Macaca mulatta: one gene and its partners. The protein of the gene in region 1 interacts with the protein of each later gene in a pairwise test. Links are inferred from orthologs where the notes say so. Each region holds a gene or a part of one and is shown in the gene's direction. Other genes may lie near its edges.

Evidence for each region.
Region 2: the proteins of HOXA1 (region 1) and EGFL7 interact in binary tests that used the Homo sapiens proteins (3 or more experiments, as listed by UniProt). The link is inferred for Macaca mulatta from reciprocal best matches to the Homo sapiens genes HOXA1 and EGFL7.
Region 3: the proteins of HOXA1 (region 1) and LGALS13 interact in binary tests that used the Homo sapiens proteins (3 or more experiments, as listed by UniProt). The two-hybrid records come from large-scale screens. The link is inferred for Macaca mulatta from reciprocal best matches to the Homo sapiens genes HOXA1 and LGALS13.

Annotation. Positions count from the first base shown.
Region 1 is NC_133408.1:101,252,056-101,255,801, forward strand, and holds the start of HOXA1 (homeobox protein Hox-A1), read left to right. Parts: upstream 1-1,027; 5' UTR 1,028-1,419; coding exon 1,420-2,071; intron 2,072-2,534; coding exon 2,535-2,890; 3' UTR 2,891-3,746. UniProt on the Homo sapiens protein: Sequence-specific transcription factor. Regulates multiple developmental processes including brainstem, inner and outer ear, abducens nerve and cardiovascular development and morphogenesis as well as cognition and behavior.
Region 2 is NC_133420.1:5,826,581-5,830,291, reverse strand, and holds the start of EGFL7 (epidermal growth factor-like protein 7), read left to right. Parts: upstream 1-811; 5' UTR 812-1,004; intron 1,005-2,248; exon of another isoform or gene 2,249-2,417; intron 2,418-2,566; 5' UTR 2,567-2,657; exon of another isoform or gene 2,658-2,693; intron 2,694-3,331; exon of another isoform or gene 3,332-3,369; intron 3,370-3,711. UniProt on the Homo sapiens protein: Regulates vascular tubulogenesis in vivo. Inhibits platelet-derived growth factor (PDGF)-BB-induced smooth muscle cell migration and promotes endothelial cell adhesion to the extracellular matrix and angiogenesis.
Region 3 is NC_133424.1:50,722,185-50,725,930, reverse strand, and holds the start of LGALS13 (galactoside-binding soluble lectin 13), read left to right. Parts: upstream 1-1,316; coding exon 1,317-1,358; intron 1,359-1,487; coding exon 1,488-1,564; intron 1,565-2,076; coding exon 2,077-2,287; intron 2,288-3,746. UniProt on the Homo sapiens protein: Binds beta-galactoside and lactose. Strong inducer of T-cell apoptosis. Has hemagglutinating activity towards chicken erythrocytes.

The DNA of each region.
Region 1 (3,746 bases):
AAAGGGGAGGAGGTGTCGTTGGGGTAAAGTGTTCTGTCCACCATCAGCCATCTGTCCACCGCTCCTCCCACCTGCCAGTCCCCGCACCCACTCTAGACGCGCAGCAGAATGAGGAAGGTTACAAAAGGAAGCTCTCTCTCTCTTCTAACATTCCTCTCCAGAAAAAGAGGAACGCAACGAAGGGAGTTCAGCTACTTTGTTGGAGCTGTGGACCGGCCCTGCGAGGCCCACGCGGGAGCGGAGGCTCCTGGGTCTCGGGCGCCGGCAGATGGCCTGCAGCGCACGGCCCGGCCCCCACGCTGGCCACGTCCGCCAGCGTCATCTCTCTCCCCCGCCTCCTACCCCTAAAAATCCGGCGGTCGAGTAGCTCCGCATCCCGGAGGGCTCCCGCTGCAAAACTGAGTGGGAAAGAAACGGCGGAGAGCGAGGAGAGAGGGAGGGTGGGGAAGAAGAGCCCGGTCGCCCCCGGCCTTTTCCGGCAATCCCTGTTTCCAGGGCTCTTCCGCACCCCCCCTTCCCCGGTCGAATTACAGAAACTCCTCATTGCCATGCTAATGAAGAGCGGGGGCTGTGGGGAGAGGGTTTCGGAGACTCTCCTGGAAGAAGGGAAGTTTCTTTTCTTGCCCTCGTCTCCTTCACCCCCACCCGAGTTCCTCCCACCCAGCCCTCTGCGCTCTTCCCTCTCCATTCCGCGCTTGGAGAGCCGGTGGCCCAGCCTCGCCCCCTGCCACGGTTCTGTGCGCTCCTCACAGCCCCATGGTCTCCCAGCCCAGCCTCAGAGCAGAGAAGGCGGCCTGGGAACCCGGGGCTCGGTGTCAGCCGGATTCCCCGCCTTCCGGTTGGGCGCGCTCCGGGCTGGGCCCGCGAACCTGCGGCCACCCGGCGAACTCCGGCCCACTAACTCGCGCCCCGAGAGAGCCGGGAGCCCTCTTCCCTTCTCACCTCTCGCCAGTTCATCTTTCAGTGCACAGTGGGGAGGGGGCGGGAGCGGGGGACGCCTCTCAGCCCCCACCTCCCGGAGGCCTGGCGGGGCGGGCAGCGGAGTCGGGCGCGCGCAGAAGGCAGCCTTTGCTCTTCTTCGCTCCAGCACTCCAAATCGGCCGTTGCAGTCGCCGCAGCAGCTGCCGCCGCCTGGGCTGCCTGGGGGGGCGACTGCGCGTCACCTAGACGGCGGAGCGCCGGGGATTTAAATGCCACTGAAACGGTGATCCATCACCGCGGAAGCCGGCAAACTTTTGCAGGAGGCTCAGCCATTGGCTGACACCGTCACGTGCCCCTCCCCTAGCGTCCTCCGCCCTCCCGCCCCCCCCTCTTGCGCACTGTACATTCATATCATTTTTCTTCTCAGGCCCCATGGAGGAAGTGAGAAAGTTGGCACGGTCACCCAGGGCTTCGCAGGACCAGGTCACTCAGTGACAGATGGACAATGCAAGAATGAACTCCTTCCTGGAATACCCCATCCTTAGCAGTGGCGACTCGGGGACCTGCTCAGCCCGAGCCTACCCCTCGGACCATGGGATTACAACTTTCCAGTCGTGCGCGGTCAGTACCAACAGCTGCGGCGGCGACGACCGCTTCCTAGTGGGCAGGGGGGTGCAGATCGGTTCGCCTCACCACCACCACCACCACCACCATCACCACCCCCCGCCGGCTACCTACCAGACTTCCGGGAACCTGGGGGTGTCCTACTCCCACTCGAGTTGTGGTCCAAGCTATGGCTCACAGAACTTCAGTGCGCCTTACAGCCCCTACGCGTTAAATCAGGAAGCAGACGTAAGTGGTGGGTACCCCCAGTGCGCTCCCGCTGTTTACTCTGGAAATCTCTCATCTCCCATGGTACAGCATCACCACCACCACCAGGGTTATGCCGGGGGCGCGGTGGGCTCGCCTCAGTACATTCACCACTCATATGGACAAGAGCACCAGAGCCTGGCCCTGGCTACGTATAATAACTCCTTGTCCCCTCTCCACGCCAGCCACCAAGAAGCCTGTCGCTCTCCTGCATCGGAGACATCTTCTCCAGCGCAGACTTTTGACTGGATGAAAGTCAAAAGAAACCCTCCCAAAACAGGTCAGTCCTGGGGGTTGGTGGATGCTCCTTGATTAATCTGGAAGGAGCTGGTATGCTTAATTTCCAAGGAAAATTAATAATTATCTTTTTTTTTTTAAAGGCTTTAAGACTAGTGTTGTAGTGCATGGAGAGGGTACCCAGAGGTGTTGGGGCAAAGAAGCCTCAGGGATTGGCGTGTTCTCAAGGATTTTATACATTTGGGAAGTAGGAAGTGTGTGGGGGTGGTTATTGTGACGGTAGTGTTCTGTTAATATCTTAAGGCTCCATTAATCACCGATCTGACCACGCTAATGGTTGACTTCAGGTTAACACTTTACACCTCATCACTCACCCTCCACAGCCCGATTTGTGTTGAGTTCTTGATCTTTTCTTTACCTGAGTGTTGCCATGAAGTGTGTAGGTAATCTCAAGTCGGTTTAAAAATTTTTACCTTTCCATCTCATGGCTTCCCACTTTGCCCCAGGGAAAGTTGGAGAGTATGGCTACCTGGGTCAACCCAACGCGGTGCGCACCAACTTCACTACCAAGCAGCTCACGGAGCTGGAGAAGGAGTTCCACTTCAACAAGTACCTGACGCGTGCCCGCAGGGTGGAGATCGCTGCATCCCTGCAGCTTAACGAGACCCAAGTGAAGATCTGGTTCCAGAACCGCCGAATGAAGCAAAAGAAACGTGAGAAGGAGGGTCTCTTGCCCATCTCTCCAGCCACCCCGCCAGGAAACGACGAGAAGGCTGAGGAATCCTCAGAGAAGTCCAGCTCTTCGCCCTGCGTTCCTTCCCCGGGGTCTTCTACCTCAGACACTCTGACTACCTCCCACTAAGGCGGCTCCAGTCCCAGACCACAGCCCAGGCATCTCCTTGGGCTGGGACTTCTTACCCAAAGCACATGCTTAGCTTATCTTTCTTTCCATTTACAGTCTCTTCTTTTCTGATCCTATCTGGGGAGCTCCTGGCCAGGATAATATGTTTGCAGATAATTCTGGACCAGAGACTTGGTGCCGGGTTAACACCTTAATCCAGATTGGGTGCCAGCACACATTTTCTGGTGGGCCTTAACATCCCTCCTGATTTTAGGAGAATTCACAGAACCTACTGTTCCTTTCAGATGACTTTTTGGAAAATAGTTCCCTTTACCAACAGAAACATGCCAGAAGGAATCTTCTCATCTTTTATCTAACTATATGTACAGCTCTCTCCTCCCTTGTCCTTGAAAGTAGGATATAGTGAAAGGAGAGTCCAGGAGCTCACGAAGAAGAGATACACTGTGTGTTTACACAATTAATTCATCCCTTAATTTAAGTCATTTTCATGTGTGTGAGTTTGCTGGTTGTGAATACTTTGTCCTAAGAGATTTATCTTTATACAGATTTTCTAGAAATGTTTAGGTTACTAAAACAGGGTGGGCAAACTCTCAAAACTGGCACAATTTTATAAGTGAAAGAACAAATTTCCTCATTTAAATCCAATCAGATGCCTCAGAGGGTAGCCTCGATTTGTTCTTACAGTTAAGAAGCCCTGCAGAGCACAAAGTTCAGAAATCCAGCTTCCTGTGCTAAGTCTTTCCCAATCCCCACTCCTTTCTTCTTGGGCCACCCTCTGTTTAAAATTTGTGCTGGGTTATTCAGAACCTAAAAGTATTATTCAAACCAGCTTCTTCCTTCCACAGTTATCTTAGTT
Region 2 (3,711 bases), on another chromosome or scaffold:
ACCCCCTGTGATCACCCACAGTGTCCCGCATCCCTCCCTGCACCCCCGGCCGCAGTCTGCTGCCAGCCCAGAGCACCCCTGTGAAGTGGGGCTGAGGGCATTGGGCCTGCTTGCCCATCTCCAGGGCAGGGGCTCACGGTCTCACTGGCAGCTCTCTTGGGGGAGACAGCTTGGACTCCATGCCTGCCGCCTCCCATCACCCCCTCACCATGGCGGACCTTGGCAGACCTTGGGCCTCAGGGACCCACAGAACAGGCTGTTCTCAGACCACTCAGCCTGTCTTGCCACCTCAGTCCCTTCCGGCCGGGCCTTGCCACTCGCCACCCTCACTGGTCAAGGCTCCAGTGCGGCTGGTCCCTCCAGGGAGCCCCTCCAGGCTCCCACGCTGTGTCACACACATCTGGGGGTGTCCTGGGGGAGAGCCCAGCACTCTGTGGCCCAAAGATGCAGCAGCTCCCTTCTGTCCAGCCACATGCAAGCGTGACCTGTGGACCCACGGTCCCGGGAGGGCCCTGGGCTTGTGTCCTCCATCCCACGCTCTCCCCAGAGTCTCCCCAGCAGGGTCCAGCCCTGCTTTCTGGCTGTTTTGGGGCTAGACTCTGATGGCCCATGGGACAGCTTCCCCACCCCCGGGCAGTTTGTCCAGGCCCCCTCACACGGTGGCCCCCGCCCCCCTTAGGCTCCTGTTTGTCCGACGACACGTCCCCGTTATCAGCGGAGAACACACACAGGAAGTCCGGCTGGGAAGGGCCCATCCCAATCCCGATTACCCGGGACGGAGCATAAAAAGCCGCCCTTCCTCGCCCGGGGGGAGCCTCCCTGCACCAAGCCAGCCCAGCACGGCTGCAAGGGAGGCTCCTGTGGACAGGCCAGGCAGGTGGGCCTCGGGAGGTGCCTCCAGGCGGTCAGTGGGCCTAAGGCCCCAGCAAGGGCCAGGGTCCATCCCCGGTCCCAGGACACAGCAGCGGGCCACCATGGCTACGCCTGGGCTCCGGCAGCATCAGGTACGGCAGGGGTGGCCTTGGAGGGGCAGGGAGCGGACAGGGCAGGCCCCCCGTGCCCCTCACTCCCGCTGACCACGGCGCCTGCTGGCTGCTCCGCAATCTGCTTCCCGGCGAGGTCACAGGGGAGGGGGTCCCGGTCTCCTCCCCTTCTGCACAGAGGAGGCCACTGAGGCCCCTGAGCCAAATGCCTGCTAGCGGGTAGCTCAGTGTAGATCCCAATCCAGTCTGCTGACTCCAACACTTCACCCCCAGCTGCCCTTCCCCTGAACCCCACCCTCTGGCCTTTCTCTCCCTCCGCAGAGCAGCCCCTGGGGTTGGCAGCAAAGTTCAGCTCAGCTGGGCCCACTGTGAGGGACTTAGTGCTACATCCTGGGGTGTCCCAAGGGCTGGGGTCTCCTCAGCTTCTTCCTAGCAGTGGGGTCTGGGGAGGGGAATTGGCCCCGAGGGAGAGGAACCCCAAAGCCAAATCTGTAGCCAGGATGAGCGGTGTGAACCCAGGGTGCGGGACGTGGGGCTCAGGCTTAGTGATGACTTGGTAGGGTGTCATGGGCAAATAGGTGACTCTGTGGGCCCCCCGTGGACCTTGGAGAAGCCCTTGTTCTCCCTCTCCCCAGCCCCATGCAGAGTGGCTGAAGCCCCATCCCCAAACCCCCGGAGTCATAGTGGGTCCCAGAAGGCCCCACTTTTTGTCTCATACGTCCACACCAAGAGGCCTGTCTGAGAACCCCCACTTTCCAAATGGTGGGGCCTAGCCAGGACGGGGGTAGCGAGGGCTGGCTCGGGGCCGCCCCGGAGCTGCCCTTTCTGCTCCATTACCTCTTCCAGATTCAGGCAGGAGACGTGGGGAGGCAGGTCAAAGGGTTAAGTGACCGCAGCTCCAGAGATGAGGCCAGGGGCAGAGGACAGGGCAGGGTGGCTCTTCCCCCCAGAGGCCCCTAGGCTCCACTCTGAACACTTCACTGCCGGGGGCTGGGTAAGAGCCCCGCGTGGGCTCAGGGTGCCAGGAGGCCCAGGACTCCCCAGTCAGATGAGGAACGATCCCTGACAGCAGCTGCTCTGGCCGTCCCTCGGACCACGTGCCAGGGGTTTCCAGGGCCCCTGGTCCAGAGCAGTGGCCACCGGATTGCAGGGTGGAGCGGCCTTATTTTGGGGGCTCCTCTCCAGGGACCTGGGCCCCTCCTTTCCTCCAAGTCTCATGCACCAAGGTAGGACCAAGCTGGTGGCCCTCCTCAACCCATCTGCAGGCCTCTCGCCCAGCACCCTGGGTTTTGGGGACGGACCTCCAGCTCCACTCACAGCAGCCTTTCATCCCCACGCCGGGGAGTCCAGGGCTGGAGGCAACAGCCCCATTTTACTGAGGCCAGGAGCTGTGGATCCGAGAGGACGATCAGCTCGGGACAGGATGGGATCGGGGTAGGTACAGGATGGAGGCCTGTAGGCCTAGTGCAGGTGGAGGTCCCACAGCAGCACCAAAGGCTGGACCCGGGCCATCCCAGCCCCCAGACATCAGGGTGACCAGGACTGTGCATAGGCACTAACCCACACCTCCTCTCCAACCGCAGCCCCCAGGACCGGGGAGGCACAGGTGGCCCCCATCACCCGGAGGAGCAGCTCCCGCCCCTGTCCGGGGGATGACGGATTCTCCTCCGCCAGGTGAGTCCGGGAAAACCCCTTGCTCCCAGGGAACACGTCTCACACAGGTGCCCACACTGGCTACGAGACAGGGCGCTGGCTCCTGCAGGGGTCTGAGGGGCTACTGAATTGGGCTGGCCCAAGCCCCACGTGCGGCGCCCTCAGTAACAGCTGCAACAATTGTGTTGTGGCCATGACCTCATCATCACTAGATCCCGGTGGGGACGGTCATGATGCCCACTGCCTGCGAGGCTGCAAGACCGAGCTCAGTGCTAACCAGCACCGGGTGCCTACCGCGCGGCCCCCCAGTGGCTTAGATAGGCGTCCCGGGGTGATTTTCAGCCTGGGGGCTTGAGAGCTAGCAAAGGGCCCGCAGCCCCGTCAGTGTGGGCGCCCTGGGCGGCCTCTCCCGGCTCCTGGCAGCCGGGCTCGGTGGTCGTGCATCCGCTCAGCGAGCGCCCTGCCGCGGGGACTCGGGCCCTAGGATTCCCGGAGGGGGGCTGGGGGGCTGCGGCTCAGAGGCGCTTTTGCGTCAGCCCCGGGTTCCAGCGGAGTCACTGCCCGCCCGCCGCGGGGCCTCAGTTTCCCCGTCTGCGCAATGGGGGCGGGGCGGGGCTCCGGCGGGGCCGCCAGGTGGGGCGGGGCCGGGGGCGGGGCGGGGCGGGGCTCGGGGCCCCCACGGCGCGGGCTCGGGCGGCAGTGTCGGCGGCGCGTGCGCGCCCCGGATCCGGCGGTGAGTGCGGAGCGAGCGGGGCGCGCCGGGGTCGGGGTCTGCTCGTCGCCCGGGCTGGGGCGAGGGCGGGACCCGCGGAGCCCCCGGGGATGGGGGACCTGGCCCCGCGCGGAGCCGGGGGAGGCTCCGGGACGAGACAGCGCGACCGCGGGGCCCAGAGCGGGGAGCGGGCCGAGGCGTCCGCGGCTGGGTCGGGCCGGGCCGGGAGAATGGGCCCAGCGGCCTCGGGAACCGGCTCCCCCTGCCGGCGGCTGGCGGGCGGCGCGGCGGAGAGGGCGGGGGGCGCCGCGGCCCCTCGTCCTACCCGGCCCGACCCAACGCCTCGGGGCCCAGCCCCTGCTG
Region 3 (3,746 bases), on another chromosome or scaffold:
GAATTTTTCCAGTTTTTGCCCATTCAGTATGATATTGGCTGTGGGTTTGTCATAAATAGTTCTTATTATTTTGAGATACGTTCCATCAATACCGAATTTATTGAGCGTTTTTAGCATGAAGGGCTGTTGAATTTTGTCAAAGGCCTTTTTTGGATCTATTGAGATAATCATGTGGTTTTTGTCTTTGGTTCTGTTTATATGCTGGATTACATTTATTGATTTGTGTATGTTGAACCAGCCTTGCATCCCAGGGATGAAGCCCACTTGATCATGGTGGATAAGCTTTTTGATGTGCTGCTGGATCCGGTTTGCCAGTATTTTATTGAGGATTTTTGCATTGATGTTCATCAGGGATATCGGTCTAAAATTCTCTTTTTTTGTTATGTCTCTGCCAGGCTTTGGTATCAGGATGATGTTGGCCTCATAAAATGAGTTAGGGAGGATTCCCTCTTTTTCTATTGATTGGAATAGTTTCAGAAGGAATGGTACCAGCTCCTCCTTGTACCTCTGGTAGAATTCGGCTGTGAATCCATCTGGTCCTGGACTTTTTTTGGTTGGTAGGCTATTAATTATTGCCTCAATTTCAGAGCCTGCTATTGGTCTATTCAGGGATTCAGCTTCTTCCTGGTTTAGTCTTGGGAGAGTGTAAGTGTCCAGGAAATTATCCATTTCTTCTAGATTTTCTAGTTTATTTGCGTAGAGGTGTTTATAGTATTCTCTGATGGTAGTTTGTATTTCTGTGGGGTCAGTGGTGATATCCCCTTTATCATTCAGCTCACACGGGTCATCTGTTACACTCATTTTTATCTCAGATAATACCTTTTGCTCATGGTGGGCAGGACGAAATCTCAGATACAAAGAGATGACATAGAGTTCAGGGACTAATGTTCGACAAAAAAATTTTGAATTGCCTCTGGAGACCTACTCAACATCATCATTTTCATCATTTCTCTCTCTTTCAACAAGTGTTGTTTCCCACTGGAGTGAATGTTTACATTCTTACATTTACAAGTCCTATTTTAATTTTCAGAGTTGAGAATGAAGGCAGGTCAGTGTTTCAGGAGGACTCCCCTGTTCTGTTAGGTCACCCGTAAGAGGCCCTACACATGCCAGGGATTAGGGTAACACTTTTACATGTATTAACTCTCTATTACGGAAAACATCCTACAAAGTAGAAATTCCTGATCATTCTCCTTGTCCTAGGGAAAATGGGGATGGAAGAGTTCAAGTAACAAATCTAAGATTGCACTGCTAGTAAAAGGCAGAATGACGACCGGAATCCAGGCATCCTGGCTCCTGAACGCTTATTCTTAACTATGGGTCCACCATATCTTCAGGAATATGGGGCCCTGACTGTGGTAGGCTGAAAGGGGAGAGTCCACAGAGCCTCCCTTTCATCTCTAACCTCCTGCACTATGGGAATACGTTTCAGGAGGGGAGACTGCACCTGACCCTGCACCTCTCACTTACTCTCAATACTCTGGCAGGTGCCATACAAACTGCCTGTGTCTTTGTCTGTTGGTTCCTGCGTGATAATCAAAGGGACACCAATCGACTCTTTTATGTGAGTACTCCATGGTCCAATGGAGGGGTTGGAGAAGAAGGGAGAATATTTGCTGAGGGCTTGACCTTATGTGTAGGTGATGTGGAAATGTCTAGCTGGCAGGATGGAAGCCCCATACAGGTGCCGGTCCTTGGAGTCCCTCCAGCACCAGGCATGAGACCTGTAGCAACTGCATGTGGGCCAGCCACAGGGCCTAGGGAAGGAGGACACTCAGTGGGTTGGGGCTGTGGCTCTTTATCAAGGGGCATCGAATTTTCAGGGAATAAACAAGTCATAGGCCCAGGTCAGCGACTGTGACTCAGTTTTCATCTGGGGATGAGGAGCACAGAATCTCCCTGCTGGGGGCACGAGGAGCTGAAGCATCCCCACAGGGACCTGGCCATCAGTATTATCAGGAAAATTACCCGGAGACATTTTCCCCGGGTAAAGGGGGGAAGGGATTTGTGTGTATGTCTAGTGTGTGTCTGCACAAGGGAGGGACCTGCCCAACATTCTGCATGCTTTGCCCTCAGCAACGACCCACAGCTGCAGGCGGATTTCTACACTGACATGGATGAGGACTCAGATATTGCCTTCCGTTTCCGAGTGCACTTTGGCAATCACGTGGTCATGAACAGGCGTGAGTTTGGGATATGGATGTTGGAGGAGACAACAGATTATGTGCCCTTTGAGGATGGCAAACAGTTTGAGCTGTGCATCTATGTGCATTACAATGAGTACGAGGTGAGCATCCCAGGAGCTCCCAGCACCCAGACTTTGTGGGTTCCCAAAACAGGAGGCAGCTCTCATTGACCTGGCCTCAGCAGTCCCTCGGCGTCCATCTCCCATAACTACTCCTGCCCCTGGTTTTCATCACAGAACACCCCCTGCTTGCAGTGCCATCCTCAGCTCTATCCCAAATCTGACCAATGTCAAGGTCAGCTCACCTGACATTTCCCCCAAAGTTGAGAATCTCCTCTGTCTTTTCACATAGTGCTCATTTCTACTTATGCCATTATTTAAATTTTCATTTAGTTGAGTGAATACAATATACTTCAGAAAAAAAAAAAAAAAAAGATTTAAAAAAAGTTGTTTAAATCAGTCAAAAATTAAGTCTTTGTCTCATTTTGGGGCCCGAATTCTACTCATAGGAAAAACACTATCAGAGCTCTGCTTTCGTTCAAAGAGGGTTTTTTTGTTTGTTTATTTGTTTGTTTGTTTTCTTGAGACAGAGTCTCATTTTGTCGTCCAGGTTGGAGTGCAGTGGCATGATCTCAGCTCACTGCAACCTCCACCTCCAGGATCCAAACAATAATCTTGACTCAGCCTCCCTAGTAGCTGGGACTACAGGTGCGTGCCAGCACACCTGGCTAATTTTTGTATTTTTAGGGGAGACGGGGGTTTACCACTTTGGCCAGGCTGGTCTTGAACTCCCAACCTCAAGTTATCTGCCCAACTCGGTCTCTCAATATACTGGGATTACAGGCTTAAGCCACTGTGCCTAGCCCTTCAGAGGAATTTTTTTGCTTATGGAAGCATATAGATATGTCTATGATTTCATTTGTTTTTAAGCAAATCCTGGTATAAGTTGCTCTACACATTACGCTTCAGGAACTAAGTTGATTTGTTGCCAAAGAATATATCTCGAAGACATTGTCAATCTATGATGCTGCTTCAGATTTTAAAGACTGCATAATATTGCATTAAAAAGTTTACCCAAAATTGTTGAACCTGGCCCTTTTGGGGGCATTAAATTTCTTTCCAGTATTTTGCTCTCACAAATGATGCTGTATTAAGTTTTCTAATCAATCCTTTTGTCATTACCAACCTCCCAATACTTTTACTAGAAGATAATTACAAAAAAATGAAAATACTGGCTTTAAAAATGTGTGCATTTCAAATTTGAAAAATTAATACTAATAAGGTGACTTTCTCCATAGCCTCAATATAAAGAATATATCCATACTTCCTGGCTTTCTCTAACGAGTAGACCAAAACATTCACATCTTATTCAGATTCAAGTGAGGGATCTTTTCCTATGCTTAGAAGTTGTTGAAGGTAATATCCTGTTTTACAAGAACTGTTCTCCTTTCATTCTATAAGAACACTGGGTTTACTTCTTTGCCACTAATACGTCAGATGTAGGTTACTCCAAAGAGAAACTGTGCCATCAGTAGTGAAAAGCAATCACAGTTCATGGAAC